4 linked regions of the Anolis sagrei genome follow. The protein of the gene in region 2 purifies or fractionates together with the protein of the main gene of each other region. This does not show direct contact. Links are inferred from orthologs where the notes say so. Each region holds a gene or a part of one and is shown on either strand. Other genes may lie near its edges.

What was found.
Region 1: the proteins of DNAJB11 (region 2) and DNAJC3 purify together in Homo sapiens (affinity purification with mass spectrometry; 3 studies listed by BioGRID and IntAct, with this or other methods). This does not show direct contact. The link is inferred for Anolis sagrei from reciprocal best matches to the Homo sapiens genes DNAJB11 and DNAJC3.
Region 3: the proteins of DNAJB11 (region 2) and SDF2L1 purify together in Homo sapiens (affinity purification with mass spectrometry; 3 studies listed by BioGRID and IntAct, counting the BioPlex papers as one, with this or other methods). This does not show direct contact. The link is inferred for Anolis sagrei from reciprocal best matches to the Homo sapiens genes DNAJB11 and SDF2L1.
Region 4: the proteins of DNAJB11 (region 2) and SDF2 purify together in Homo sapiens (affinity purification with mass spectrometry; 3 studies listed by BioGRID and IntAct, counting the BioPlex papers as one, with this or other methods). This does not show direct contact. The link is inferred for Anolis sagrei from reciprocal best matches to the Homo sapiens genes DNAJB11 and SDF2.

Annotation. Positions count from the first base shown.
Region 1 is NC_090023.1:126,801,037-126,809,602, reverse strand, and holds the start of DNAJC3 (dnaJ homolog subfamily C member 3), read right to left. Parts: upstream 3,278-8,566; 5' UTR 3,163-3,277; coding exon 3,081-3,162; intron 1-3,080. UniProt on the Homo sapiens protein: Involved in the unfolded protein response (UPR) during endoplasmic reticulum (ER) stress.
Region 2 is NC_090023.1:223,644,367-223,652,302, reverse strand, and holds the start of DNAJB11 (dnaJ homolog subfamily B member 11), read left to right. Parts: upstream 1-4,196; 5' UTR 4,197-4,330; coding exon 4,331-4,398; intron 4,399-7,936. UniProt on the Homo sapiens protein: As a co-chaperone for HSPA5 it is required for proper folding, trafficking or degradation of proteins.
Region 3 is NC_090034.1:33,709,329-33,717,359, forward strand, and holds the start of SDF2L1 (stromal cell-derived factor 2-like protein 1), read left to right. Parts: upstream 1-4,207; 5' UTR 4,208-4,298; coding exon 4,299-4,476; intron 4,477-7,041; coding exon 7,042-7,238; intron 7,239-8,031.
Region 4 is NC_090031.1:35,000,883-35,009,900, reverse strand, and holds the start of SDF2 (stromal cell-derived factor 2), read right to left. Parts: upstream 3,639-9,018; 5' UTR 3,587-3,638; coding exon 3,433-3,586; intron 1-3,432.

The sequences.
Region 1 (8,566 bases), about 97 Mb from region 2:
TAAACTTAACTTGATAGCTGCCTTTGCTTGAGGAGTGGAGAAGGTATGTTTTTTTAAATTTTATTTATTTAAAGAGGGGTAACATTTATTTGTTAGTTTTAGTTGGCAAGGGAGGGGCTGTAACAGGGTAGAAAAATCATGGGGATATTTTTACATATGATTTTTTTAAATTGCTGTTTTCTATTTTAGTGCCTGGGTTTTTTTAAATTTATGAGATTTACTTTTATTTACATTTGAAGATCTAATTAAAAAGGTTTATGTGCTTAGCATTACAAAAAAGTAAAGTAACAGCAAGAAAAAATACTCCCATCATATAGAAATTAAGACTAAATTGGGAAATAAAAAGGGATCTCTAAGGGCCCTTCCACACAGTCCTATATCTCAGAATATCAAGGCAGAAAATCCCACAATATCTGCTTTGAGCTGGGTTAACTGAGTCCACACTGAGATAATGTGGGTTTTTCTACCTTGATATTCTGGGATATAGGGCTGTGTAGAAGGGCCCTTAGTTATATGAGTCAATAACTGTGGGATTTTACTCAGCTGTGTAGAAGGGTCTAATATAAGAGAAAGTGGAATACCACTTTGAGTCTAAAAGAGAAAAGCTATATATAAGTAGTAATAATAATCTATTTAAATAAAATGTAATGTTCATTTGTGGGTTTGACATAACTCAAAAACTGCTGGATAAATTGACACAAAATTTGGACACAGTACACCTATCACACCAACAAGTGACCATCACTCATAAAAACACTGAAAAACACAATAGAAGGGACTTAAAAGGCCAAAAAAGCAAAAAGACGCTACAGGGCATGCCCAAAAACAACTCCCCTGGCAAACAAAACACACAAAAGCATATCCACACTCTCTTTCGGACTACAGCTCCCAGCATCCTCTAAACCAGGCCCTTTAGGAGAGGAGGATGATCCAAATGCACCGCTTCCAAGATACAAGCTTTCTTCTCCTTGGATTTCTTTGAGAGCATCCCAATCCCTGCATATTTCCAATTTCCTATTCCTGGACTGCAACTCTCAGCAATCCCCCAGATAGATTCAGATGGAGATAAATAGGTAGATATAGATCGATTGATCAAGAGGACTGCTGGGAGTTGCAGTCCAAGAATAAGTAGAGAAGGAAGAAAAGGGAGAAAGGGGAAGGGAAAGAAAAGGGGGGAAGGAAAGGAAAAGGAAGAGAAGGAAGAGAATGAAATAAAAAAGGGAAGGAAGGAAAGAGGGAGAGGAAGGTTGGCCACAGCAATGCGTGGCGCGTACAACCAGTAATATCAAAACAAAGACATTAATCAAAGCTATTACTACTGCAAGACTATATGCATTATGAAAGTAATGTTAATATAGTATGGTTGTTATTATATTATTCTTTGGTATTATGTAAGTTGAGCATCATGGCCCAAAACAACCCTCATAGCCACATGACGGTCTCTCTTGTCCACAAAAGGAAGGAAGCTGAGAAACTAACAGGATCTCACTGTAACTTTTGTAACTTTCTGAATGTTTGCTAACCGTTTATGTGCTAAGAGGCCACACATTATATTTGCACTACAAATCCGTATTCATGGACCTCAGAACTTACTCACACTAGCAAGCCTTGTCTTACACGTGATCCTCCAACTCAGAGTTTTTATGTCACTTTCCTTTGATGTTCAAAAGACCTTCAATAACATCATCCCATTGTTACGATTGATATTCCCATTTTACATATAAAGCAGCAAGACCAGAAGTCATTGTCGTCTGAGAATGAGAATGACGTTGGAAGAGATTGGGGCGAAACAAGGAAGAAGGATGTCAACTGGGCACTCCCTTAGGTGAACGGCTGAAATCCTAAACACTTACAGGGAACAGGATTCAAAGACATGGGTGCATCTGCACTGTTAATGCAGTATAGTATCACTTTAACTGCTATGATTAAAGTGGTATCGTCCTGGGAGTGAAATCCTGGGAGTTCTAGTGTGATGAGGCACATAGAAAAACTACAATTCCCATGATTCCACAGCACTGAGCCATGGCAGTTAAGTGGCACCAAAATGCATCCATTCTAGAGCAGGCCTGGGCAAACTTTGGCCTTCCAGGTGTTTTGGACTTCAACTCCCACAATTCCTAACAGCCGATAGGCTGTTAGGAATTGTGGGAGTTGAAGTCCAAAACACCTGGAAGGCCAAAGTTTGCCCAGGCCTGTTCTCAGGTATAGATGGAATCATAGGAGTTATAGTTTTATAAGGCCTTTCCCTGCTTGCTGGTGCCTCCCATAAGGTCATAGCATTGAGTCATGCCAGTTCAAGTGGTGTCAAACTGCAATAATTCTACAGTGTGGATGCACTCATACATAGGAATCCTATCGCACATCTCAAGTCTCTTCCTGAGCCTTTCCAGGACCAGGAAGAAGTCCTGCTTCCTAATGTAGACTTCACACCATGTAACTATAGCACTTTGAAAACATCTGACGCAACGCTGGGATTTGTATTTGGCGAGGGAAACAGAATCCCCCAGAGTTTCCCAAGCTCTGGCCTTCTGAGTGTTTTGGACTTCAGCTCCCAGAATCCCTCACCACTAGCCACAGCAGCTGAGGCTTCTGGGAGTTGAAGTCCAAAACACGCTTAAGACCAAAGTTTGTCAAATCACCGAATACTATTAAAACTTTCAGGCAAAGAAGTCTTAAGTTATTATCATTCGTCAAATTTCAGAGCCTAGAATTCCACGGGAAACAGCCAAGGGAGTTAAAGCGGTATCAAAGTGCTATAAATGTGAGGTGTGGGCACATCTATACCATACCACGAAGACTCCACTTTAACTTGGGTTTTGTACTTTGGGGAAGTTTGGTTTTTTGCCAGACCTTGTAAAACTACATTTCCCAGGATGCCATAGCAATGAGCCATGGCAGTTAAAGTTGTGTCAAACTGCATTAAGTTCTACAGTGTAGATGCACCCTAGACCTCAATCCACACATTCAGGGAGCGACCCCAAAAGGCTGACAGAGGATAAAGGCAAATGCAGTCTAAGTTAACCTTGTCCCAATTGATTTCCCAGGAAAAGAACCCCTCTCCCCCTTCCCAGCCTCCTCACCCTCAAAGTGGAGGTCCCACAGCGTCAAGAGTAAGGGCAGCGCCGAGGCCAGCTTGTGCACGCAAGCCCGGGGAGAGACCATTGCTGCGTTCCCACGTGCGCCGCCCGACCCGCGTCAAAGTGGAGTTCGGGACTCTTCAACTCTCTCAACATTCTCAGCCAGGTTCCTGGGGCTGGGTCGTGGGAGCCGCTGATTGGCCGCGCCGCCTCAAGCCCCGCCCCCGGCTAGGGGAACGTGGAGAGCAGGAGAGCCCATGGTCAGCGGGCCCCGCCCCCTCCTCCCCGGGCATGCGCGTTAGGAGGCGTTGAAGCCGGCGCGGACGGACGTCAGCTTGCCCTCTCTTGGGAATGAAGTTCCTTTCAAGCTCTGTGACGTCAAGGAGGGCGACACCAGGGCGCTACTTTTGAAAGTTTGACGGTGTTTGCTTCCAAGTTGCACAGAATAAGTCTTGAAATAACAATGGTTGCCTCTACACTCTAAATTAATGCAGTTTGACACCACTTTCACTGCCATGATATCATGGGAGTTGTAGTTTTACAAGGCATTTAGCTCGTTCTGCCAAAGAATGTTGGTGCCTCATCGAACTACAGTCTATTCTGCCTTGGTTAGACCAGACCTGGAATATTGTGTCCAATTCTGCGCACCACAATTGAAGAGAGATATTGACAAGCTGGAAAGTGTCCAGAGGAGGGCGACTAAAACGATCAAGGGTCTGGAGAACAAGCCCTATGAGGAGCGGCTTAAAGAGCTGGGCATATTTAGCCTGAAGAAGAGTAGGCTGAGAGGAGACATGATGAGGGCCATGTATAAATATGTGAGAGGAAGCCACAGGGAGGAGGGAGCAAGCTTGTTTTCTGCTGCCCTGGAGACTAGGAAGCGGAATAATTGCTTCAAACTACAAGAAAGGAGATTCCATATGAACATTAGGAAGAGCTTCCTGACTGTGAGAGCCGTTCAGCAGTGGAACTCTCTGCCCCGGGGTGTGGTGGAGGCTCCTTCTTTGGAAGCTTTTAAACAGAGGCTGGATGGCCGTCTGTCGGGGGTGATTTGAATGCAATATTCCTGCTTCTTGGCAGGGGGTTGGACTGGATGGCCCATGAGGTCTCTTCCAACTCTTTGATTCTATGATTGTACAAACCCCAGAGTTCCATAGCAGTTAAAGTGGTGTCAAACTGCACTCATTCTCCAGTGTAGATGCATCCCTTTGGGATGGTGACCTCATTCAGAAAAAAAATGTTCCATATTGTGGGATTTTAGAATACTGATATATCTTGGAAATGTCTAAACACAAACTGCTTTTACAATTTAAACGCACAGCCTGAGAGTAATTTCATACATAATATTTGTGTAACTTTATGTTAAACAAAGCTTGTACATCTTAAAGCATAAGAAAGCAAAGGTGTTTCTATCTCAGCCAGCCATTTGGACTGTTTAGGAATATTTCGGAATTCAGGATCAAGGGCTCTAAACTTGTATTCTTAATACAAAGTCTCCGTCCAGGAAAATTACATACAAACTCATAAGAAATCAATGGGATGTGATTAACTTATATCACACTAACCTCATTCGTTTCAGAAAGACTTGAGGGTAGCGATTTTGTTGGAGATCGCAACCTTCTCAAGCCTCCTCTATTTAATGTTATGTCTGTTTATAATGTGTCGTTTTATTTCCCAAAGTGTATGTCTACTTTGTATTGTCGAAGGCTTATGTCTACTTTGGTTTGCAGTTTCCTTAGCTCTATATACTTGAGGCAGTGCGAGGGGCTGCAGATCACGGGACTGTTTATAATGCATTTTAAACATGATAATAGTTGAGGAATGACAGCTAAGTCTTGAGTCAGCTTGAGTACAGAAGTCTGTTTTTCAGTCAGATGTCAATGTAGAAAGTTAGAAAACTGTTGAAGCTTGAATTCTTCAATAGTAGACTGTTATGAAAGAGAACTGTACAGAACAATATAGTTTTTGAAAAGACTATTAAAGACAATAAGTTAAAGATACAAACCAAAATGTTTTAAAATTTAACATGACAAGAAATGTGCCTGTATATTTTAGTACATGAAGCTATGAGTAAACAAACAAGCTATTTTTAAAGAAGTCAATTTGAATCTTTGTCTGCTGAGAGCACTTAATAGAAACTATGTGCCTAGCGACCATCCATTACTCAATAAGCTAGAGGAACACCTACATAACTCTGCGAACCAATAGGTTATGATCCTAACAGGTCATGAACCATAATCCCCAGTAGGTTGTGATCCTAACAGGTCATCATCCATTATCCCCAGTAGATTTATTGAGAAACAAACCCTTGGATTTCTGTAGATCTGCGTGGGATTATAGTGTAATTTTCTGGAGAAGGACTGAAATATATCAAGATGTGAAATAGCCTTAAATTCTTTGATATTCATTTTTAAACCAGTCTGTTCTATATTTTAAAATACGTACAACCACTGCTTATTGCCAGGAAACATCCCTTAAAAGCTGTCTTCAACCCCAAAAGGAAGCTCAGGTCCCATCTACACTGCCATATAATGCTGTTGGAAACTTGCATTATATGCTCAGTGTAAACTCATATAATGCAGTTTAACTGCATTGAACTGTAAATCACTTCTGACGTGAGAGAAATGGCCATCTGCAAGGACATTGCCCAGGGGATGCCTGGATGTTTTACCATCCTGTAGGAGGCTTCTCTCATGTCCCTGCATGAAAAGCTGGAGCTGACAGATAGGAGCTCACCCTGCTCCCCAGATTAAAACTGCTGACCTTTCAGTCAACAGTCCTGCCAGCACAAGGATTTAACCCACTGTGCCACCGGGGGCTCCCATTTGCTGCTTACACAAATACACAACCTGTCTTCATTCTGTGGCATATATCCTTTTTACCGGATTAATTCAACTAAACCAGCTTGCAGTTGGAGTCATTAATGTAAGGTAAAGCCAGACTGAATTGTAGTAAACTTGGAAAGAACAAATTTACTACAGTCTGGGAAAATAAAACACCAGTCAATATAAAGTTCAGTTCTTAACAATGTGGTAAAACAAAACACTGGTCAAAGAAAACATATGGAACAACAACTAAAAAGGAGCCATAGAAGACTTCTTCAATACATGATTGTAGTGGCAAGACTGTTGTGTGCCTAGACTTAGAAGAATATATTCATAGCCATGGAGGGAAAATGGTCACTGAATGAGCTACCAGAAATGGATCCAATCTCAATTTGATTCAAGAAAAATCAGTAGAGACTTTTTGAAAAAAGATTGCTTAAAAAGCAGTTTGAAATTACTATATATTTTATTTCTTCTATTCACTTTTTTTCAACATTTCTCCCTGCCTTTTTAAGTTATTACTTGTGAGTGAACTTTTATTGTATTTGGGAAAAAAATAATAAAATAAAAAGGAGCCAATGGTTATTCTAAAAATATTAATGCCACTAATAACCACTAGAGGCCACTAAAATATCCTAATAAATAGTTGTGTACTGAAGGCATTAGTGTTCTATGTATGAACAAGCATTTGTTTGCATGTGCCTTTAATCCCCATGTCAACTTATGGTAATCGTATGGATTTCATAGCAAGACATACTCAGAGATTGTTTTACCATCTTCTTCCTGTGAAATATCCATAGTACCTGGTCTTTGTCCAAGTATTAACCAGAGTTGAACATGTTTGGCTTCCAGGATCAATCAGATGCCTTTAGGATATTTACTGCTGGATAAACAGGACCATGAACTTCACACGGTGTTGCATTTTTGGTGATACTACAATACTACTGCTGGTACTTTGTACTTAGACCTAGAGTTTTCTCCTACATCAACCCCCCCCCCCCCCCCACTCACCCCGCTTACCAGTAGCTCCAACTCAGTATCAGGTTGCCTGTAATTTGATTATTAAATTAACAGATGTACCACTTTTTAGAAAAATTCCAAAATACGATGTGCACAAATTAGCCAGCAAACATCACACTAGCTATCCATGCACATCTACTGACCATGGCATCTGTCAAATATATCCAAGACAGTAACTAAAGTGGCCTAAGTCATCTTCTTGTTTGAAGCAAAAGATTACGGAAACTAATCAGACTAGCAGTTTAATTTTATTTCATCACTAACCGTCCCCTGCCACACATTGCTGTGGCCCAGTCTGTGTATATGTGTTTTGTGTGTGTATATATGTGTATGTATATATGTGTGTATATGTGTATATATGTGGTTTTGTGCATAAGTTGTAATGTTGTTTTTTTAGTTTTTGGCTTTTTAAGTCTCTTCCACTGTATTTTTCAGTGTTTTTATGAGTGATGGTCACTTGTTGGCCTGATAGGTGTATTGTGTCCGAATTTGGTGTAAATTTGCCCAGTGGTTTTTGAGTTTTGTTAATCCCACAAATGAACATTATTTATATAGATTGGGGACCCTCTAACTTTACCTGAAGACAGGTGACAGACATCTGGAACTCATTGCTTTGATCTCTAAAAGTGGAGAACCGCTGCAGCACTATTTCCTCCACTTCATCCAAATGCATTTGTTTTTAACACTAGTGCTCATGCTATCACAGTCCAGTTTTATCGTGTCCTCTGTTGTAGACCAAAGCAACAGAAATAATCTGTATAGAATGGCCATGACATTTTACATGCTTGCTTGTGTTTGCTCACGTAATCTGAAAATGGTCTGAAACTTCAGAATTGTTGTTTGAAACCTTGTTCTTTGATGACCATGTCTCATCACCTCTCATGCCCATGGCCGCCAAGAAGTTTAGAAGGTGTATTGAACAGCCAACATCCTGCACACATTGTACATAAATATGCACCAAACTGCAGTCACTGAGGTCCTGATATCAATGCAACTCATAATGCATCTACTCTGTAGAATTAATGCAGTTCTATAAAGCTATTGTCCTCCCAACCCTGCTCTATGCCTACGAAACGTGGACTGTCTACAGACGTCACATGCAACTCCTGGAACGATTCCATCAGCACTGCCTCCGGAAAATCCTGCAAATATCTTGGGAAGACAAGTGGACAAACGTCAGCGTGCTGGAAGAAGCAAAGACCACCAGCATTGAAGCGATGGTCCTCTGCCATCAACTCCGCTGGACCGGCCACATTGTCCGGATGCCTGACCACCGTCTCCCAAAGCAGTTGCTCTACTCTGAACTTAAGAACAGAAAACGGAATGTTGGTGGACAGGAAAAGAGATGTAAAGATGGCCTCAAAGCCAACCTTAAAAACTCTGGCATAGACACTGAGAACTGGGAAGCCCTGGGAAGAACAGGTGGAAGGTGGTCCCAGTCAGGCCCTCGACCACTGGAGGTCAGCTGTGACCAGTGGTGCTGAAGAATTTGAAGAGGCACAAATGGAGGGTGAAAAAGAGGAACGTGCCAAGAGGAAGCCGTGTCAAGCCAACCCTGACTGGGACCACCTTCCACCTGGAAACCAATGTCCTCACTTCAGGAGAACATGCGGATCAAGAATAGGGCTCCACAGTCACCTGTGG
Region 2 (7,936 bases):
AAATAGTCCAAGTACCAATTAAAAAAAACCCTCTAGGGATAACAGCAGTTATTTTTTTAGTTTCCAAGAAATACCCGTGATAGGTTCATCTCAGCATGCAGCCGTACTGTGGAATTAATGCAGTTTAACACCACTTTAAGTGCCACAGCTCAATACTATGGGAGAATTCATTTGGTGAGGTATCCCTAATCCCCTGGTTAGAAAAGGCTTGCAAAACTACAACCCCATGATCCCATTCCATTGAGCTATGGCAGCTAAGGTGGTCTCAAACTGTATTAATTCCAGTGTAGATCAGGCCTGGGCAAAGTTGGGCCCTCCAGATGTTTTGGACTTCAACTCCCACCATTCCTAACAGCCTGAGGCCCTTTCCTTTTCCCCCTCAGCCGCTTAAGCTCCTCTCCCTTCGGCCCAGCGACGCTTCCCGCCCTCTCCCTCGCCCACTGCGCCTGCGCACAAGGATGGCTGCCGCGGCTGTACAGCAACACTCTTACCAAAGAGATGCTTCGGGCTAGAACAGCCCTGTTTTTGTTTTCCCCGCCACACCAGCGCTTGAGACTGCTCGCGTCATTTCCGCTCATGGTTGAGGCAATAGCAATGACTGCGGGGAGGCTGAGATCAATTCCATATCGCCCTCTGCGGATGGGAGGACCTCTTCCGCTGTTTCTCCTATGTAGATTGACATGCTTATCTGCCACGGCTATGGAAACTTGGGACTCCCAAGATTCCATAGCATTGAGCCAAGGCTGTTTAAAGTGGTATCAACCCGCATTAATTCCACAGTGGAGATATACTACTACTACTACTAATAATAATAATACGATATTTTAATTATATATTTATATGACATGTAATAGAGCCCCCGATGGCACAGTGGGTTAAACCCCTGTCCCGGCAGGACTGAAGACTGACAGGTCGCAGGTTCGAATCCAGGGAGAGGCGGATGAGCTCCCTCTATCAGCTCCAGCTCCTCATGCGGGGACATGAGAGAAGCCTCCCACAAGGATGATAAAACATCAAAACATCCAGGCGTCCCCTGGGCAACGTCCTTACAGACGGCCAATTCTCTCACACCAGAAGCGACTTGCAGTTTCTCAGGTCGCTCCTGACACGACAAAAAAACCCGACATGTAATATTACTAATAATATTACAATATAATGGTATAGTACAATATAGTAATCTTCTGTTGTTCATTCGTTCAGTCGTTTCCAACTCCAACTCCATGTGGGCTGGTCCATTGTGACCTCATGGACCAGCCCACGCCAGAGCTCCCAGTCAGCCGTCACCACCCCCAGCTCCTTCAAGGTCAATCCAGTCACTTCACTTCACAGTACTCTTCTATATAAATAAATATAATCTTCTATATCTATATAAATAAAATAAAAATGTATAAATAAAAATGTAATGTTCGTTTGTGGGATTAACAGAACTCAGAAACCACTGGGCGAATTGTCACCAAATTTGGACACAATGCACCTATCAGGACAACAAGTGACCATCACCCATAAAAATACTGAAAAACACAGCAGAAGAGACTTAAAAAACCAAAAAAAACCTTACAACACATGTGCAAAACCACATATATACACAAATATATACACATATATATACACACACAAAACACATATACACAGACTGGGCCACACCAACGCATGGCAGGGGACAGCTAATCTATATAAATAAAATGTAATGTTCATTTGTGGGATTAACATAATTCAAAAACCACTGGACAAATTGACACCAAATTTGGACACAATACACCTATCAGACCAATGAGTGACCATCATGCATAAAAACACCAAAAACACAGCGGAAGAGACTTAAAAAGCAAAAAAATAACCACCCTTACAATGCATGCACAAAACCACATATATACACTTATATTCCCATACCAAAAAAGGGAAATGCTAAAGAATGCTCAAACTTTCATACAGTGGCACTTATTTCACATGCTAGTAAGGTAATGCTCAAGATCCAGATGTACAAGCTGGTTTTAGAAAAGGCACAGAACAAGAGACCAAATTGCCAATATCCGCTGGATAATGGAGGAAGGCAGGGAGTTTCAGAAAAACATTTACTTCTGTTTTATTGACTATTCTAAGGCCTTTGACTGTGTGGATAATAATCAATTGTGGCACGTTCTTGGTGGTATGGGGATACCAAATCACTTTGTCTGTCTCTTGACAAATCTGTATAATGACCAAGTAGCAACAGTAAGAACTGACCATGGAACAACAGACTGGTTCAAGATTGGGAAAGGCGTAAGGCAGGGTTGTATCCTCTCAACCAACCTATTCAACTTGTATGTAGAACACATCATGCAATGTGTAGGGCTTGACAAATACAAGGCTGGAGTTAAAATTGCTGGAAGAAACATTAACAACCTTAAAGATGCAGATGAGACCACTTTGATAGCCGAAAGCGAGGAGGAGCTGAGGAGCCTTCTAATCAGGGGAAAGAAGAAAGTGCAAAAGTGGGTTGCAGTTAAACATAAAAAAAACAAGATTATGGCAACAAGACTGATTGACAACTGGAAAATAGAGGGAGAAAACGTGGAGGCAGTGACAAACTTTGTATTTCTTGGTGCAAAGATTACTGCAGATGCAGACTGCAGCCAGGAAATCAGGAGATGCTTATTTCTTGGAAGGAGAGCAATGACCAATGCCGATAAAACAATGAAGAGTAGAGACCTCACACTGACAACGAAGATACGCATAGTTAAAGTAATGGTATTCCCCGTAGTAACCTATGGATGTGAGAGCTGGACAATAAGGAAGACTGAGCGAAGGAAGATAGATGCTTTTGAACTGTGGTGTTGGAAGAAAATTCTGAGTGCCTTGGACCGCGAGAAGATCCAACCAGTCCAAACTTCAGGAAATAAAGTCCGACCGCTCATTGGAGGGAAGGACATTAAAGGCAAAGATGAAGTACTTTGGCCACATCATGAGAAGACAGGAAAGCTTAGAGAAGACAATGATGCTGGGGAAAATGGAAGAAAAAGGGAAGAGGGGCCAACCAAGGGCAAGATGGATGGATGGTATCCTTGAAGTAACTGACTTATTTATTTCATATCAAAAGCATTGCATAAATTAGTATAAAACCGATAAAAATAAAAAGAGCGCAGGTGGCTAAATATCTTTTTACCAAAATCAGACAACAGCAATGGCATTGCCTGTAGCCTCCAACAATTCTTCCTCTGTACATGAGGCAGAGCATAGTAGACAAGTATACAGATGCAGAGTTGTCTGTTCTGCTCCACAGTCACATAAGGTGTGGGATTCTTTTAGGTAGTGCCATTTTGCCAGGTTGTCTTTTGTTCTGCCCACTCTACTTCTGAGTCTGTTCAGGGACTTCCAAGTTGCCCATTCTTGGCTTGGCCCTGGAGGAAGGCCCTCCTGGTGTAGGGAACTATTTTAATTAGTGATGGTTGGTGACAAAGAAAGGCAAACATTTCCCTACACTGGGGGGGGGGGGGGGTGCATCCAGTTGGGATTTCCTGGTTTATCTGCCCAGAGGGGTATCCTTGCTGTTGCTGGGGGGACGCCAAGAGGAGTGGAAGTTCTCATAAAGCTTTTCCTTGATTTGACTCTACTGGGAGGAGTAACTGAATTGATTCTGAAGGAGCTGGGGGTGGCTATGGCCAACAGAGCTCTGGGTAGGCTGGTCCATGAGGTCACAAAGAGTTGGAAGCAACTGAACGAATAAACAACAAAACAATATAATATAGTAACTTATAATAATGTGCTAGGCTAATATATTGTATATACACATATTAAAATAATATAACGTAATACAATATACTAATAACGCATTATAATAATTATATTATATATATTATATATTATTTTTATATTATATATAAGTATTATTATTATTGTAATATAGTAAAGTATATTAAATATACTACTGATAATATATAATTGCACAGTTTTATTATTATATATATTTGTATATTTTAAGTTGTAATGTTTTTTATTGTGAGCCGCTTTGAGTCTTCGTATGGAGAGATAGAGCGGGATATAAATAGGTAAGCCTAGAACAGCTCGCGACGTAAGCACGGCTGCTCCCTCTCCCCCTCCTCCCCAGCGTCCTTATTTATTGACGTCTAGAGCCGTGATTGGCTGCGCCCTGCCGGCTCGCGGGTGAAGTGTGCAATTGTGGTTGGCCGGTGGAGCGTGACGCGGCTGCGCTGTGCCGGGCGCTGATTGGCTGCTTGCCTGCCTGCCTTCTTTCACCGGGTTTCTCCGTCGTGCCGATGGTGACCGGCGAGTCAAGGAAGGAGTGAGGAGGGGGCGCGCGCTGAAGCCGTTTCGAGGACCCTTCGGCCCCGCCATGACTCCCAGCTCCCTCGGCAGCCTCCTCCTGCTGCTGCTCTGCCTGCTTGGGGACGCCATTGCCGGGTGAGCCCCAAGAAAGAGGAGCGGGGAAGGGAAGGGAACCCCATCCGGCCTTCTGAGAGGCTGATATCCGCCCCCCCCCCCCCTTTTACTCCCTTGAGTCTTCCACAGGCCCCCTTCCCCGCCATTTCTGCCCCCGTCCTTCAGCTCTCCTCACAGTGAGGCCTTCCCTTCCTCTCCCTCCCTCCCTCCCTCCCACTGGCATTCTCTCAGCATCATTCAGGCCCCTGTGAGGCTTGGCTTCCCTGCCTCCTGTGTGAGACTGACATCCCATTCTCAACTCTGAGTGCATCTACACCAGGCATGGGCAAACTTGGGCCCTCCAGGTGTTTTGGACTTCAACTCCCACCATTCCTAACAGCCTCAGACCACTTTTTCCCCCCCTCAGCCACTTAAGCGTGGGAGGGAACGGCTAGTGTGTGTGTGTGTGTGCATCTCCACCCATGAACCGACTAGGACATTAAGATCGTCCTAGTCGGGGAGGCCCTGCTCTCGATCCTGCCTGCATCTCAGGCGCGCCTGGCGGGGACGAGGGACAGGACCTTCTCGGTGGTGGCCCCTCGGCTGTGGAATGCCCTACCTGTAGACATCAGACAGGCCCCTACATTGTTGCCGTTCCGGAGGAAGGTGAAGACCTGGCTCTTCGAACAAGTGTTTGGCTAAACAGTGCAATTTATTATAGGAATACGGTGCAATCGAACATAGGAACATGGAACAAGGATTATGAGAATGGTTCTGATTTGAGGCGTTATGATAATGATTGTTTATTGATATTGACTGTTATGTATAATGTGTTTTAATTGCCTATTATACTGTCTTGTGATAATTTGTACTATTTAAACCGCTTTGAGTCGCCTACGGGCTTAGAAGAGCGGTATAGAAATAAAGTAAGTAAATAAAATAAATAGGAGGTTGATGCACAATTGATCAACACAATGTTCACAGAATGAGGGTCCCAACCAGTGTCATGGTAACACGACAATGGTGGCTTCTCATTTTCCACTTTTACAGCCGTTGTAATAATAATAATAATAATAATAATCTTTATTTATACCCCGCCACCATCTCCCCAATGGGGACTCGAAGCGGCTTACATGAGGCCAAGCCCAAATGACAATTACAATAAAGAAAAACCAAAAAACAACACAAAAATGCAAACAATAAACAATAACATCATAGTTACATAAAACATATGAATACATAACAAAATAAAAATTACACTATGCACAGGCACAGTAATAATGGGCGGGCTACGTGTAATGATTAAAACTAATTAAAAACTCGGGCGAAATAAAAGAGAGAAGCAGGTAATTTACAGAGGAGGGCTCATTTTAGCGGGAGTTGTGGAATCAAGCTTTCCCATGAGGGAGGGACATATACTCCAATGACAGAACTTCGGGGCTGAGCAATCATGTGGGGTTATATACCTACTCATCAAAGGCGCAGCGGAAGAGCCAGGTTTTAAGGTTCTTTTAAAAAATTTCTAGGGAAGGGGCTTTCCTAATTTCTCCAGGCAGCGAATTCCAGAGTCGGGGAGTCACAGCGGAAAAGGCTCTCTCCCTTGTACTCACTAGGCCAGTGTTTCTCAACCTGGGGGTCGGGACCCCTGTGGTGGTTGCGAGGGGGTGTCAGAGGGGTCACCAAAGACCATCAGAAAACATAGTATTTTCTGTTTGTCATGGGTGTTCTGTGTAGGAAGTTTGGTGGGGTTCAGAATGCTATTTCGTTGTGGGTGAACTATGAATCCCAACAACTCCCAAATGGCAAGGTCTATTTTTTCCAAACTCTACCAGTGTTCACATTTGGGCATATTGACTATCTGTGCCAAGTTTGATCCAGATCCATCACTGTTTGAGTCCACGGTGTTCTCTGGATGTAGGTGAACTACAACTCCAAAATCTCAAGGTCAGTGTCCACCAGACTCTCCCAGTATTTCTCTTGGCCATGGGAATTCTATGTGCCAAGTTTGATCCAATTCCATCATTGGTGGAGTTCAAAAGGATCTTTGATTTTAGGTGAACTATAAATCCCAGCAACTCCAACATTCCCAAATGACAAAATCAATCTCCTCCAACCCCACCAGTATTCAAATTTGGGCATATTGGGTATTTGTGCCAAATTTGGTCCAGTGAATGAAAATACATCCAGCATATCAGATATTTATATTACGATTCATAGCAGTAGCAGAATTAAAGAAGTAGCAACGAAAATAACATTATGGTTGGGGGTCATCACAATGTGAGGACCTGTACTAAGGAGTCGCGGCATTAGGTTGAGAACCACTGCACTAGGCAAGCTTGAGAAACTGGCAGGGGCGAGAGAAGGGCTTCCCGGAAGATCGGACGGCCCGAGGTGGTTCATGGAGGGAGATACGGTCACAAAGGTAGGCGGGTCCCAAACCGTTTAGGGCTTTATAGTTGATAACCTACACCTCGAATTGGGACTGGAAAATAAACGGCAACCAGTGGAGTTCCTTAAACAGGGGGGTTGACCGCTCCTTGTAGGTTGCTCCAGTTATTCATCTGGCTGCCGAACGTTGGACAAGTTGTAATTTCCAGGCTGTCTTCAAGGGTAGCCCCACGTAGAGAACATTACAGTAATCCAGTCTAGAGGTAACTAAGGCATGGACCACCATGGGCAAGTCAGACTTCACGAGGTAAGGTCGCAGTTGGCGCACAAGTTTTAATTGCGCAAAGGCCCTCCCAGCCGACACCTGCACATCGAGCGTCAGCGCTGAGTCCAGGAGGACCCACAAACTGCGGGGGTACCATGTTGTCTTCTAATTGATCCGCCGTTGAGGTCTTCAGATTATGCTTGGTGTGCGGCCCCTCTAGCTTTGGTTAGCATAGGGAAGGAATAACACCCCTGTGTCTGTGCCCCTGTTCAGAAGATTTCACCTTACTTTCTTAAAAAAATCAGCAGGTGAGCTTTTGTGAATACCAACCTCATGTCATTCTAAACATTTAATCTGTTTCTTGTTTCGGTTTTCAATTTAAGAAGCATTGAAAATCAGCTCTCACAAAGATATATAGAAACAAAGGGGAGTATAACTTGAAACACAAGCATGGTGACATTTGGATGGCATGATTTTATGTTTTCCCTTTTTAAAATTTGCATAGCTCACCACAGACCCCTTCATGACCTCATTTGGGGTTGCAACACAGGGTTTGGTAACCCCTATAGTAGATGCCTTCTCAGTGGTGGCTTCTTAATGGTGGAATGCTCTTCCAAGCATATCCTTTTGGGCCTAATCCTTAATAGTTTCTTAGTTCTTCATGTTCACTTGGCTTTGGACTTTTTATCTTTTTATTCTTTAAATTTGTATGCTTTTAGTATATTTTGTGTGTGTGTGTTAAAATTCTGTTAGTCTCTTTGGAATTTTTATTGAATATTGGTGTATAAATCCCTATAATAAATAAATAGGTATACATGGCTTTGTCATTTAGATTACAGCTTCCAGCCTTCATCATGATTAGTTATTATGCTTGGGCTGGTGAGGGTTAATGGTTCAGCAATATCTGGAGAACTGCACTTTTCCCAA
Region 3 (8,031 bases), on a different chromosome or scaffold from region 2:
CACAGAAAAAGAAAATGGAAGGAATGATAAATACGATAAAAGATAAAACAGGTAAATTATGTAGAGCTATGAAAGAAAAATTGAAAGTATTTGAAGAATTTTATAAAGAACTATATCAAACCAAAGCAAGCCCCATAGAGGCAATTAGGAAATATGTGGAAGAAAATTGGAAGAGTAAGCTGGAGGAGAAAGATAAAGAGTTACTGGAACAACCTATTAGGAAAAAAGAAATAGAGGAAGTTATTAATAAATTAAAAGTAGGAAAAGCTCCAGGCTTGGATGGTCTAGGGACAGAATATTATAAAAGCTTTAGAGAAGTTTTAACCCCAAAATTATTGGAATTGTATAATGGAATAATGAAGGGAGATAAAATACCCGAATCATGGAGGAGATCATTAATAATATTAATACCCAAACCTGATAAAGACTTAACAGACCCAGGGTCATATAGGCCCATATCATTAATTAATCAGGATGCAAAGATATTGTCCGCAATATTAGCCAATAGAATGAATAAATGTATGTATAAGTACATAAAAGAAGATCAGTGTGGGTTTGTAAAAGGAAGACAAATGTCAAATTTGATAGGGAGAGTACTAAATAAAATTCATTGGGCTAAAGAGGGGAAGGGAAAAGCAGGGATATTATCAATAGATATTTTTAAAGCATTCGATTGTGTGGAATGGGAGACATTAAGGGAAATATTGAATAAATTTGGAATGGGAAATAGAATAAAAGGAGTACTAAAACAATTTTACTCAAGGAACTCAGCAGTGGTAACTATAAATGATGGAGTGACAAACGAAATAAAAGTGACTAGAGGAACCAGACAAGGGTGCCCTTTGTCTCAGATACTATTTGCTATGGTGATAGAATTGTTTGCTAATAACATAAGGAACAATAAAAATTTAGAAGGGTTAGGAAAAAAGGAGAAACAGAAGGTGAGCTTATTCGCTGACGATACATTGTTATTTATAGAAAATATAGTGGAGAAAATGGATAGAATAAAAGAACATTTGGAGATATTTGGGAAAGCAACGGGTTTACAAGTCAATTGGAACAAGTCAGAAATGATGCTACTTAATTATACAAGAGAAGAAGAAAAAGATTTTATAGAACAGAGAAAAATGGGAATAAGAATTAAGAATAAATTAAAATACTTGGGAGTAATAATAACTAAGGATTTAAAAGAGATAGAGGAAGTAAATGTAGTAACTTTAAGAAAAGAAGTTCAGAAAAAGTTAATAGAGTACGAAGGTATACACTTATCCTGGTTTGGAAGAATAGCATTAGTAAAAATGAAAATACTTCCAAAAATAAATTTTATATTTAGGATGCTACCACTTCAAATCACAGAAGAAGAACTAACTAGATGGCAACAAATGATTAATAAGTACTGTAATGGAAGTAAAAGAAACAGACTAAATAAACAGTTATGGTATAGATCGCAAAAGGAGGGTGGACTAGCACTACCTAATATAAAAAAATATTATGAAGCAAGTAGATTAAGTTTGGTTATAGAAGGAATGGTTAAAAAAGAGGGAATAGATTGGCTTAGTAATGATTCAGGAAAAGTGGAAGATGAAATTTGGAATATATTTTTTAAACAGTTTACTACAAAAGAAATGAGGGAAATTAGAAACCCAATGCTGAGTAACATACTGAAAGTATGGAATAAATATAAGGGGAGGTTAATAAAGGAGGGATCAATTATAACCCTAATAGTGATGGAAAAGAAGTTCCCAATTTTTTTTAAAAAAGTAATGGATAAAAAGGTAAGGGAAATAAATTTAGATAGGATAGGGGATTGGATGAAGGGGGAAATGAAGAGGGAGACGATGTTGGAAGAGTTTAAAGAAATAAAATTGTCATGGTTTCATTGTATACAATTAGAACAATGGTTAATAAACTGGGAAAAAAATAATAGAAGTGGAAGCCAACCCAATCAATTTGAACAAATAATACAGAAGGGAAGGGCTGTAGAAGAACATGAAAACTTGAGAGGTATAATTAGCAAAATCTATAAGATACTAATTGAAATGAAGGATGAAAAAATAAAAAAGTGTACCCTTAAGGAGATTTGGGAAGAGGATTTAGGGATAAAAATAAGTGAAATAGAGTGGCGACAACTATGGGGACAAAGACATTTAAAAAATTTATCGATACGAGTTAAAGAAAATTATTACAAGTTAATATGGAAGTGGTACTTAACACCGGTAAGAATAGCATATATGAATAAAAATAACTCAATAAATTGTTGGAGAGGGTGTCAAGAACCAGGAACATATATACACATGTGGTGGCAATGTAAATATGTAAATAATTTTTGGGAGAAAGTATTTAGAGAAATAGAAATTATAATGAATATGAAAATAGATAAAAGTCCTAGTATAGCCTTACTATCATTATATAACAATAAGCAATTGAAAAAGGAGGATAAAGAAGCGATAACAAACTTATTAACTATAGCAAGACTGCTCATAGCAAGGAATTGGAAAAAAGAAATGAATATACAAATAGAGGAGTGGTATAAGGAAGCATGGAAAATAGCAATAAATGATAAATTGACATGTATATTAAAGGTTAAAAAAGGTACATGGAAACAAAACGATTTTGATGCTGTATGGGGAAGATTTGTGGTAAATTGATTAAAAAATAAGGAAGGAAAATTACCGTCACAAGAAGAAATGAAATTTTGGACAGATGAAATGTAAGAATGGTGGCTTGAGACGGGTGGAGGGGAACACTGTGGTGGAAAAAAGGAAAAAAGAGAAAAGGGGGGGGAAATGTCAAAGCAAAACAACATGTTAAAGAGGTTGATGTACAAAATGCAATAGTATGTAATAAATGTGATAAATCAATAAAAAATTATTAATAAAAAAATTGAAATCCACAAGCATGTGGACAATTTCAACAGAAAGGAAGAGACCATGAAAATGAACAAAATCTGGCTACCAGTATTAAAAAAACTCTAAAATTACAACAGCAAAACAGCAGAGAGGAAACAACCAGGCACATCTTAACACCTCTCAACAAAAGGTTTTCCCAGGCTCAGCCAGGCCTTCAAACGCTAATGAAGGTGGTCAGTTGAAACATTCACACCTAGCTCCAGCAGAGAAGAGCTTTTTGCCCCACCCCAGCCATTCCACAGATATATAAACCCATTGTCCTAATTCCAATAGACCTCACTACCTCTGAGGATGCTTGCCATAGATGCAGGCGAAACGTCAGGAGAAATGCCTCTAGAACATGGCCCTATAGCCCGAAAAAACCCACAAGAACCTAGTGATTCCAGCCATGAAAGCCTTCGACAATACATTGTACATGAATACTCAATATCCCCAAATGTGAACACTGGTGGAGTTTGGGGAGAATAAAATATTGACATTTGGGAGTTGTAGTTGCTGGGATTCGTAGTTCACCTACAATCAAAGAGCATTCTGAACCCCAACAATGATAGAATTGGGCCAAACCTCCCACACAGAACCCGCATGTGGGCCACAGCAACGCATGGCAGGGGGCGGCTAGTATTATATATAATACTACACACATATATAATGTAATATGTTGTACTATATATATTATATGTATATTGTAATACATATAATATACATTACATATATAATAATATTAATATTGTGTGTGTGTGTGTGTGTAAGTATAATATCACCTTGGTGCTTCAGACTCCAGGGAGCTGAGTTCGAATCCCTGATCCCCAACTCTGTCATAGAAGCCCATTGAACGTCCTTGAGAGAGTCACACTCTCTCAGCCTCGGAGTGGAGTGGGCTAGAATAGGCTCTGTCTTGGCTCCATGCTAGGAGGGTCCTGCCGCCTCCTCTGCGCCTCGTCCAACTAGAACTCCCAGGACTCCACCACACTGAGCCAGAGCAGCTAAAAAAGCGGAGTCAAACTGCCTTGATTCTACATTTGAAAGGTTATAGCAACCCACCCATGTGAAATGCCGACGCCGGGCCTCGAACTCGGAAACTCCCGAGGCTGCGCTTCTGTACCTCTGCCATTGCTCCGCCTTCTTCTTCCACGTGCGTCCCGCCCCTTTATCGAGGAAGGGAAGCAAGGCGGGAGAGCGTCGCCACGCCGAAGCTTCTGATTGGCTCGCCTGGCCGCCCGCCGTAGGCCAATCAGCGGCGCCGCCGTCAACGATCCGAGCCAGAGTGTGTGGCCAGGCACGCGTGGGCGGTGCTGGCATGCTCTGATTGGCTCAGCCCCAGTACCGGGACCGGAAGTCGCTTCGGAACCGTGCAGAACCTTTCAATATAGCAGCAGCGGTGGTGCGGAGATGCGGCGCGGGTTGGGCGCTGGCTTTTGCCGGCTGCTGCTCCTGCTGCTCTTCGCCGGAGGCTCGAGCCGGGCGTCAGAAGCGGAGGCGGGCGCTGTCACTTGCGGCTCGGTGCTGAAGCTGCTCAACACGCGGCACAACGTCCGGCTCCACTCGCACGAGGTCAAGTACGGATCCGGTGAGGAGCGGAGAGACAAAGTGGCTCTACCAACACCCGCAGCCCAAAGATTCCAGTCAAAGGCTCCTAGCCCCTCAGAAGCTTTTGGACTTCATCTCCCGGCATGCCTCACCGCTGGCCCAGGTGGCGGGGCTTATGGGAGTGGAAGTCCCAAAGCCCTAGAGGGCCCCAGAGGCCGAGAATGGCTGCCAAATGCACACAACTTAATCAAATCCCACATTATCTGCTTTGAACTGGGTTATATGGAAGCGTGGACTCAGAAAACCCAGTTCAAAGCGGATATTGTGGATTATCTGCCTTGATATTCTGGGTTATATGGCTGTGTGGAAGGGCCCTAAGGTCCTTACCACACAGCTGTATAAAATCCACATTGAACTGGATTATCTGGCAGTGTGGACTCAACACAGATTTTTTGGATTATCTCCCTTGATATTCTGGGTTATATGGCTGTGTGGACAGGACCCTGGGTTTTCTGAGCGCCTATCCACACAGTACCTTTATCCCAGGAGCTCCCGGTTCAAAATCGTGGGTGGCCAAACGACGACCCCTGAAAACACAGGGAAAAAATGCTACAAAGCACTAAAAACGTTGTGGGAATATCCCAGTTCTGGCTGGAAAATGTGGATATTCGAATCTCTGTGGGCCCTTCCACACAGCTATATCACCCAGAACATTGAGGTGGAAAAACCCATAATATCTGCTTTGAATTGGAATATCTGAGTCCTCACTGCCATATATCCAGTTCAAAGCGGATAATGTGGGATTTTCTTCAGCTGTGTGGAAGGGACCTATATGTCCCTACACTCAGAAAATACAGGATTTTTATGTTGGTTTATTCCCATACATGGTTTGTTCCACATACATGTCAGTTCCTGATTGGTTTTATCCGAAGAACATGGCAACAATTGACTAGAGCGCAAAAACTATATCCTAGCAAGAGAAACTTTGTCCTCCACACGTTTAATGAAGTTTGTGACACAGAAACAAAAGTTTTGCTGTGTGATCAACTTCCCCCATGTTTTATGATTAAAGCAATGAGGAACAGAGACATGTATAACCCAGGAACATCACCCAGTTGTTTCCAGGCACAAGTACATGACAAAACCTGTCTGGACAGATGGCCATGCGGCCTCTGAATTACAATAATGATGAAGTACTGTTCCTGGCTTGAAAGTGTGAGTTCCTGTTTAATAGTCTTGTCCTGACTTTGAAAGTAGTGGTCCTCCTCCACAAACTTTGTGTGCCACAAACTTAATTAAAGGTGTGGAGGATGAAGTTTCTCTAGCCAGGATGAAGTTTTCACCCTCTAGTCAGAATTCATAATCTTTTCAGGAAAAAAGCAATGAGGAACAGATATGTTTGACCCAGGAACAAAACTCATACAAATGATGCGCATATTTATATGCATCTATACATTTCAAAGGTTTTTTTTAAAAAAACGCCAACATTTCTGGTGGATGTCCCGCAGCAGCCATCTTGCGGGCTTCAAAATCCTGGAACAAAGTTGTTAGTGTGGATGACAGAGGCACAAATCTTGGGACTAACAGGTCTGTGTGGTGACCTCTTCTCCGGACCCAGGTTTTTTGTCCTACCTATTAAACCCGCAATTTGGTGCTGTCTGGAAGCACCCTGAGTCCACACTGCCATATATCCCAGTTCAAAGCAGATAATGTGAGATTTTATACTGCTGTGTTGAAGGGGCCACAGTTCAAAGCACATTTTGTGCATTATCTGCTTTCATATTCTGTGTTATATTGCTGTGTGGAGGGGCCCTCAGCAGGTTAGGACCTGGATGCAAAATCACCCAGGCACCACATATACCACCATGTCAAAATTGGTATTATTTGTATACGAGTCCACACTGCCATGTAATCCAGTTCCAGGATAACACTGTGTAATGAAATTTCAGGGAAAAAGTTCTGTTCCTGGTCTAAATGTGTTATTTCCTGTTTAATTGTGCGGTCCTGACTTTGAAAGTCATTGTACTACTCCAGAAACTTCATTTTTGTGGCTGCCACAAACTAGGGGCCCTTCCACACAGCCCTATATCCTGGAATATCAAGACAGAAAATCCCACAATATCAGCTTTGAACTGGGTTATCTGAGTCCACATTGCCATATAATCCAGTTCAATGTAGATTTTAAACTGTGTGTGGAAAGTGCATAGTGTAATCTGGATTTTATATGGCAGTGTAGATGAGGAATGGAGGAACGTCTTGACCAAACCACCAAAGGGAAAAACTTGTGAAATTCATGAAACTGCCCAAAGTCAATGGGCCACTTGAAGGTGTAGAGTGCATCCCATCTTAATACCTGCCTGAATGCATTCGATTTTTGTCTGATCTTGGAAGCTAAGCAGGGTCAGCATGGATGGGAGATCCAGATTATTCTAGGTGCTGTGGGCTGTGCTTCAGAGGAAGCCCTCAGCCGAACCACCAATGGAAAAACCCTATCACATTAATGGGGTTGCCCGAAGTCAGCAGGCAGCTTGAAGGCACAGGGGTGGGCACATGGGAGATTCTGTTTTAATGGTTTTGTTTCCTCTTTTGCTGACTATGTTCGTAGGTAGCGGACAACAGTCAGTGACTGGAGTCGAAGCTTCTGATGATGCAAACAGCTATTGGCGGATCCGGGGCAAAACCGAGGGGTCCTGCCAGCGAGGGATGCCAGTGAAGTGCGGACAAGCCGTGCGCCTCACACATGTCAACACAGGGAAGAATCTGCACACCCACCACTTCTCTTCACCGCTCTCCAACAATCAGGTCAGAACCAGATTCTCCCATTACACTATGTAACATATTTTTTTAAAAAAATGTTCTTGGTTTAAAAGTGTTATTTCCTATTTAATTGTGCAGTACTTACTGTGAAAGTAGTTGTTCTATTCCAGAAATTTTGTTTTTGTGGCTGCCACAAACTAGGTTGAATTGACTGAGACTCAATGACATACTCATTGAAAAAACTATAGCAAAATGTGCTGCAGAATGTCCTGCAAAAACAAAGTTAATAAACAAAAATAACCTTTGTGCATTTTTTATGATAGAGCCAATTAGAAAATGACATTTATAAACCAGGATCAAAATCATGTTATGTAGTGTTACGTTCCATATTTCTTGTATGTGTAGTCCAGGATTGCACAACTTGGTGATATGAAGGGGCTGAAATTAAAATAGGCTAAACTTCTTGGGGCTGTAGATAGGGTTTGGGTTTGGGAGAGGGCGCCTTTCCTTCAGAGGAAGCAGCAAAGTCTTGATTTCCCTCCTGGTGGCGAGTAGCAGTCGAACCGAACGGAGGCCCTTCTTCTTTACCATCTCCTCCCTCTAAAAATGGCTAGTTGCATTTACTGTTCTGATTCTAGAGTTTTTTTAATACTGGTAACCAGATTTTGTTCATTTTCATGGTTTGCTCCTTTCTGTTTAAATTGTCCACATACTTGTGGGTTTCAGTGGCTTCTCTGTGTAGTGTGACATGGTTGTTATTGGTCCAGCATTTCTGTGTTCTCCAATAATATGCTGTGTCCATCTTGGTTCATCAGGTGTTCTGCTATGGCTGACTTCT
Region 4 (9,018 bases), on a different chromosome or scaffold from region 2:
ATTAATAAAAGTATAAAATCATATATATATATATATCTAAAATATAATTATAAAAATATAGGTAAATTAATAAAAGTATAAAATTATGTATATATATCTAAAATATAGTAATGATAAAAATACATGTAAATTAATAAAAGTATAAAATCATATATATATGTATATATAATAATTGTAAAATATAGGTAAATTAATAAAAGTATAAATTATAAATATATAATATTAAATAAATTATATATTATAAATATATTAATATATGGTCCAACGGGCAGCAGCCAGGATGTTAACCGGGGCTCCTTACAGAGAGAGGTCAACCCTCCTGTTTAAGGAGCTCCACTGGCTGCCATTTATCTTCCGAGCCCAATTTAAGGTGCAGGTGCCCACCTACAAAGCCCTGAACGGTTTGGGACCACCCTACCTGCGTGACCGCATCTCCATCTATGAGCCTACACGCTCACTCCGGTCATCTGGAGAGGCCCTGCTCGTGATCCCGCCTGCATCGCAAGCGCGCTTGGTGGGGACGCGAGACAGAGCCTTTTCTGTAGTGGCCCCCCGACTTTGGAATGCCCTCCCGAAAGATCTTAGACAGGCCCCCACACTGGCAGTCTTCAGGAAGAACTTGAAAACCTGGCTGTTCCGATGTGCCTTTTCAGACTAGGAACCTCAACACCAAGTCCCAGATGCACTTTAGTAGAACCACGATCACTGCACACCGCACACTGCACTTATGTTATAACCCTATATTCCTCCCACAATTTCAGCACTTTTAATCTTGTACCCACTACTCTGGCCGGCCCAGTTTTAATAATTGTCTGATGTATTGTTACTGTTTTGTTTACTTGCTTAACCGTTTTAATTTGCTTTGTATTGTTTTGCTGTATTGTTGTTCTGCGGCGTTGGCCTGTTGTAAGCCGCATCGAGTCCCTTGGGAGATGCTAGCGGGGTACAAATAAAGTTATAATAATAATAATAATAATAATTAATAAAAATATAAAATTATGTATATATATCTAAAGATATAGTAATGATAAAAATATATGTAAATTAATAAGAGTATAAAATCATATATAAATATATATATATCTACAAATATAATTGTAAAAATTTAGGTAAATTAATAAAAGTATAAATTATAAATATATAATAATTATAAAAATATTTTATAATTAATTATTATAAAAATATTTTTTTTGTTATAGTGTTTATTGTGCAGTTTTTTCTGTGATACATAATTTAAAAAAAAGAGAAAAAAGAGAGAGAGAAAAAGAAACAGCCTAAAAGATCCCCGTGCCGCCCCCACCTGTCTCCTCCCTCCTCCCCCCCCCCCCCATGTGAAGGACTTCCCAAAGTCTTCAAAGAGAACCTTCCCCTTCTGGTATGGTTCTCATCCAAATTTCTTTCATTTTTCCGGCGTTGTCTCCATCTGTTAATTTCCTTCAGAGACTGGAAATGTCTATTATCATAGTCAGTTTTTCCCTTTTAATGAAGTCTTCAAGACCTCCCCAATTTGTCCTCTTCGTAATGTTGTTAAGACGCTGAGATAAACAGTCCATTTGTACTATGTCCAGTATTTTTATAAACCAGTCTTCTATTGTCGGGGTTTCCTTCTGATTCCACATTTTGGCAAGTTGAATTCTGGCTGCTGTGCTCATCAGGAAGAAGACTTTGTCTTGATTTTTATTGAATTTGGGATAGGATATACCTAATAAATACATTTCTGGGAGTTGTGGAAAATTTGTTTTTAGAATTTTTTGTGTTGCTAAATGTATTTCTCTCCAGTACTTCCTGATTCTTTTACATCCCCACCATTGGTGGTAGTATGTCCCTATTTCTTTTTGGCACTTCCAGCATTTGTTTGATATTGATTTACTAAACTTTGCAATTTTCTCTGGGGAATAGTGCCACCTGAAAAACATTTTGTGCCAATTTTCTTTTAGGTCCGTAGCTACCGTATATTTTAACTTTGTGTTCCAAATTTCCTCCCATTGTTTTGTAAGTATGTTGTGACCCAAGTCTTTTGCCCATTTTACCTGACAGTCCTTAATTTGCTCTTCTTCAGTTGCCCACCCCAGTAACTGCTTATATATTATTCTGATTAATTTCTTCTCCTTCTGCATTACTATGTCCCAGATATTTTGTTCCTGGCAGAATCCTTGCTTCTCATCATCTTTATAACTTCGGTATAGTTGGTGATATTGCATCCATGTAAAATTGGTGTGTTGTTGTTTAATCTCCTCTATCGTTTTTATGGTTAAGTGTTTCTCAGCTGTGGTTTTTAAAATTTGTTTGTATGTCAACCAATTAATATAGGTAAATTAATAAAAGTATAAATTCATAAATATATATCTAAAATGTAATAATTATAAAAATATAGGTAAATTAATAAAAGTATAAAATGATATCTATCTATCTATCTATCTAAAATTGTAGTAATGAAAAAAATATATGTAGATTAATGAAAGTATAAAATCATATATATATCTAAAATTATAGTAATGATAAAAATATAGGTAAATTAATAAAATTATAAATTATAAATATATAATTATAAAAATATATGCAAAATAAAAAAGTATAAAATCATATATATATATATCTAAAATATAATAATGATAAAAATATAGGTAAATTAATAAAAGTATAAAATCATAAATATATATATCTATAAATATAATAATTATTAAAATATATGTAAAATAATAAAAGTATAAGATCATATATATATATCTAAAATATAGTAATGATAAAAATATAGATAATTTAATGAAAGTATAAAATCATATATATATATATATAATTATTAAAATATATGTAAATTAATAAAAGTATAAAATCATATATATATATATATATATATATATATCTAAAATATAGTAATGATAAAAATATATGTAAATTAATAAAAGTATAAAATCATATATATATATATATATCTAAAATATAGTAATGATAAAAATATAGATAATTTAATAAAAGTATAAAATCATATATATATATATAAATATAGTAATTATTAAAATATATGTAAATTAATAAAAGTATAAAATCATATATATATATATATATATATCTAAAATATAGTAATGATAAAAATATAGGTAAAGTAATAAAAATATAAATTCATATATATATAAATATATCTAAAATTATAGTAATGATAAAAATATAGGTAAAGTAATAAAAGTATAAATTCATATATATATAAATATATCTAAAATTATAGTAATGATAAAAATATATGTAAACTAATAAAAGTATAAAATCATATATATATATATATATATATAATGAAAGTCATGGGGAAAGTTCCTGTTGGCCTACAAAGCCCAGAATCCGTGTGAGGATGCTGCCTTGCCTGAAGGGCTGTTGGCCTAAGGGGCGTGCGGCCTAGTGTGCGCCGGTGGGCCCTCTGGGCGTGTGCAGAGTGCTTACCGGAGCCGTAGCGGACGTCGTGCGAGTGGAGGCGGACGCCGTGGCGGGGGTTGAGCAGCTTCACCACGGACCCGCACGTCACCGCCTCCGGAGCCGCCTCGGAGGACCCCAGGCCCACCACCACCAGCAGCAAAGCCGCCCCGGCCGGCGCCATCTTCCTCTTCCGGCAAGAAGAGACACACCGGAAGTTGCCCCTCAGGAAACGGCTGACAGGAACCGGCACTAGAGGCAGGGCAGGAAACTGATGGCCAAGTCAAGTGCGCATGCGCACCTCCAGGGCGCCGCTCCTCCGCTTCCTTTGGCTTCCGCGAGGGGGAGACGCCGGAAGTGGGCGTGGCCAGGGACCGGAAGCCGCTCTTGTCTTGCTCCTGCGCCCGTAGCTTGGCCTCCATTTTGCCTCAGAGGGAGCCGCGGAGGCGGGGAAGGGCCTCCGCTCTCCTTCCTCGGCCCAGGAAGGCCCAGCCAGCCGGGAAAGGTGAGGGGGAGCCTCGGGAGCGGCGGGAGGGCTTTTGGACGCGGCCTCCTCCTTTCGCTACTCGAGCTCAGGCCTTGGGAGGGCCTCTAGGCCGCAGAGGGAGGCCTCGCCCCCCTCGCCCGCCCACTTCGGGCCCCCAAAAGGCGCCTCCAGGGCTGAGGGGGTCGTGAGGAGAGATATATATATACCCACAGGCCTTAATCACAACAATAAGCAAAGAGCCAGGCAGGAAACAATCAGGGCCAGCTAACACCTCCCAACAAAGCAGGGCTTCTCAAGCTGTTTTGGCCTTCAGTTCCCAGAAATCCTAACAGTTGGTGAAGTGGCTTGGATTTCTAGGAGTTGTAGGCCAAAACACACGAGGACCCACAAGCAGCAAAGGAGTCCCCCCCCCCAGGCAGGAAGCAGCCAGGCTTTGAAGCTGGAAGGCTATTCAGTACGAATAGGATTTCTAGGAGTTGTAGGCCAAAAACAAGCTTAGGACCACTGCAGCAAAGGATTCCCCCCCAGGCAGGAAGCAGCCAGGCTTTGAAGCTGCAAGGCTATTCAGCGCGAATAGAAATCCTAATAGTTGGATATCTAGGAGTAGTAGGCCAAAACACATGAGGACCCACAAGCAGCAAAGAATCCCCCCCCCCAGGCAGGAAGCAGCCAGGCTTTGAAGCTGCAAGGCTATTCAGTGCTAATTAAGCTGGCCAATGGCAACATTGACACTTGCCTCAGACAGACAAGAGGTCCAGTGAGTAAGAACAATTTGTATATAAGCCTTAAGAACAATTTGTATATAAGCCAAAGCAGTAATATATAATTTATTTGCGATATTTCTATCCTACCTTTCTCGAAAACCGGATGTGACGCAATATTTATTTATTTATTTATTTATTTACATCACTTATATCCCACCCATATCAGCCCACAGGCATAACTACAATTAATAAATAAGTCACAAAAATAATATAGAAATAAGACATACCAATTTATAAATAAACCACAAAAATAATATAGAAATAAGATATGGCAACAATTTGTATATGAGCCACAATATAAATAAGCCATAGTAGTACTATATAAATAAGACATAACAACAATTTATAAATAAGCCACAAAAATAATATAGAAATGAGATATAGCAACAATTTATATCACAGCCACAACATAAATAAGCCATAGCAGTTCTATATAACTAAGGCATAACAACAATTTATAAATAATCCACAAAAATAATTTAGAAATACAACATAGCACTAATTTATATATGAGCCACAATATAAATAAGCTATATCAGCTATATATTAATAAAGTATAACAACAAATTATAAATAAGCCACAAAAACAATATAGAAATAAGATATAGCAACAATGTATATATGAGCCACAATATAAATTAGCCACAGTAGTACTATATAAATAAGACATAACAATGTATAAATAAGCCACAAAAATAATATAGAAATGAGACATAGCAACTATTTATATCTGAGCCACAATATAAATAATATAGCAGTAATATATAAATGAGGCATAACAATAATTTATAAATAAGCCACAAATATATATATAAAAACACAGCACCAATTTATATCTGAGCCACAGTATAAATAAGCCATAGCAGTAATATATAATTAAGGCATAATAACAATTTATAAATTCACCACAAAAATAATATAGAAATGAGATATAGCAACAATTTATATATGAGCCACAATATAAATAAGCCACAATAATAATATAGAAATACTACATAGCAACAATGTATGTATGAGGCTCAATATAAATAAGCCATAGCAGTTCTGTATAAATTAGGCATAACAACAATGTATAAATAAGCCACAAAAATAATATAGAAATACAACACAACAATTTGTATATGAGTCACAATATAAATAATCCATAGCAGTAGTTTATATATAAGGCATAACAATGTATAAATAAGCCATAGCAGTAATATATAAATTAGGCATAATAACAATTTATAAATTCGCCATAAAAATAATATAGAAATGAGATATAGCAACAATTTATATATCAGCCACAATATAAATAAGCCACAAAAATAATATAGAAATACGACATAGCAACAATGTATGTATGAGGCTCAATATAAATAAGCCATAGCAGTTCTATATAAATTAGGCATAACAACAATTTATAAATAAGCCACAAAAATAATATAGAAATAATATAATATAGAAATACAACACAACAATTTATATATGAGCCACAATATAAATAATCCATAGCAGTAGTTTATATATAAGGCATAACAATGTATAAATAAGCCATAAAATAATATAGAAATAAAACATAGCACCAATTTATATATGAGCCACAATATAAATAAGCCATAGCAGTAATATATAAATTAGGCATAATAATGATTTATAAATTAGCCACAAAAATATAGAAATGAGATATAGTTTGGGCCACGTGTTTTGTGGCAGTGTGTTTTGATTATGCTGAAAGCAGCTGCAAGCTTTGAGGAGAGGTGGGTAATAAATCCAAGTATGTTTTTGTTTTGGTTGTTCTTGCTGTTGCTATTTATGAAAGCCCTGTCACGGACTCGGAGACAAACAGGTTAGTGAAGGGTTGAACTAGGCCAACAGCTTCGCCCAGAGCAAGATGGCTGCCTTATTTTCCAATCTGGATTGGCTTCTTGGGTTTATTTCCTTCCTCCCTCCCTGCAGTCTTCCAAGGTGCTTAATGCAGCATTGAAAGGGCTCCTCCTTCTGCGGAGCCAGGCTCTTGCTTTTCAGAGCATTGAATTATAGTTTTCCAATGACATGTTTATACCTCTGTGCATTGCTGCTATTGCTTGACCATTTCCTTGACCACTCTCTTTGTGAACAAGGCCCACCGTTCATGAGAAAAGCAGTTGCTAATGTTATTTACAGGGAAATGAAATGAATCACAGATGGTCTGAAGGCACAGTCTTGACCCTGAGAGAATATGGGAAATAATAATAATAATAATAATAATAATAATAATAATTCAGACAGACCCTGAGTTACAGACATCCAACTTACAGTAAGTGAGAGAAATTTACTCCTAGGTAGGGAAATTTACTTCTGGAAGCATGCATAAGTATATATTTATTTATTGATGACTTCATCTTCAATGATGAGAACTTGGGCATCAAAGTTGGTTGGAGCTACACTTTAAAAATGTATGTATTTATTTATCTACTAGCTGTCCCCTGCCAGGCGTTGCTATGGCCCAGTCTGATGATCTGGAAAATAAAGTAACGAGAAAGTGTTGGTTTCTAATATATGTAATTCCTTTCTGCTTGTGAGTAAACAGTATTTCTTGTTGTTTCTTTGTCAGTGTTGATGTGGAGAGTGTCTGGTTTGCCTACTCTGGAATATGCAACATATCATAGTCCTTCTTTAAGATCTATCTATCTATATTTATGACTGGATGGCTCTCTGTCAGGAGGGCTCTGATTACATTTTCTTGCCCTGGTGAAGAGAGTTGGACTGGATGGCCTGAAGTATTTTCTGTTGGTCATGGAGGTTCTGTGTGGGAAGTTTGCCCCATTTCTGTCATTTGTAGGTTTCAGAATGCTCTTTAATTGTAGTGAACTATAAATCCCAGTAACTACAACTCCAAAATGTCAAGGTCTGTTTTCCCCAAACTCCATCTGTGTTCATATTTGGGCATATTGAGTATTCGTGTAGAGTTTGGTCCAGATCCATCATTGTTTGAGTCCACAGTGATCTCTGGATGTAGGTGAACTACAACTCCAAAACCAAAAGACACTGCTCATCAAACCCTTTCAGTTTTTTCTGTTGGTCATGGTAGTCTTGTGTGCCACGTTTGGTTCAATTCCATCATTGGTGGAGTTCAGAATGCTCTTTGATTGTAGGTAAACTATAAATCCCAGCAACGACAATTCCCAAATGACAAAATCAATTTTTGAGCGAAGGACATACATTGGGTTGTTAGGTGTCTTGTGTCCAAATTAGGTGTCAATCCCCGCAGTGGTTTTTGAGTTCTGATGGTAGCACGAACTAACATTACATTTTTATCCCACAAATGTTCGTTTGTGGGATTAACAGAACTCAAAAACCACTGGGCAAATTGACACCAAATTTGGACACAAGACACCTAACAACCCAATATATGTCCTTCACTCAAAAAAATTGATTTTGTCATTTGGGAGTTGTAGTTGCTGGGATGTATAGTTCACCTACAATCAAAGAGCATCCTGAGGAGCGTGAGGTAAACCTCTGTGTGTGAGAAGCCTCGTGTGAGAAAACTCCAGTGTGAAGGCTGCAGTATGTGTTTGTTTATTTGTGTTATGGAAACCTTGGTGTTGTAAATAGTACCATCCTGAGGAGAGTGAGTAGGCCGAAGCCTGTGAGAATTAGTGGGCCAAAAGCTAGTGTCTTCCTGAGGAGTGTGAGGTAAACCTCTGTGTGAGAGAAGCCTCGTGTGAGAAAACTCCAGTGTGAAGGCTGCAGTATGTGTTTGTTTATTTGTGGTATGAAAACCTTGGTGTTGTAAATAGTGCCATCCTGAGGAGAGTGAGTAGGCTGAAGCCTGTGAGAATTAGTGAGCTAAAAGCTAGTGTCGTCCTGAGGAATGTGAGAGAAGCCTCGTGTGAGAAAACTCCAGTGTGAAGGCTGCAGTATGTGTTTGTTTATTTGTGGTATGGAAACCTTGTTGTTGTAAATAGTGCCGTCCTGAGGAGAGTGAGTAGGCCGAAGCCTGTGAGAATTAGTGGGCCAAAAGCTAGTGTCGTCCTGAAGAGTGTGAGGTAAACCTCTGTGTGAGAAACCTCCAGTGTGAAGGCTGTTTTGTGCAAAGCTACTATGTGTTTGTCTATTTGTGTTATGAAAAACTTGTTGTAATTAGTGCAACCATATTATTTTACTACAAAGAAAAGCCTTTTAAGGAAGAGATAACATTGTTCTTTGTGTGTTTATATTATTTTTTATCACTTGGGGCTCCTGCTGTTGGGTCACACTGCTGCTAATAAATTATTCTGCTGTACATTTATAGGGAGGGTCTTTTGTTAATAAGCCCACTCACCCAACAAGATTTGAGTCCTTCACCCCTAAAAGTAGATATGATTGTATTTATTTTGCTTTATTTTCTTTGCATCCAGGTTG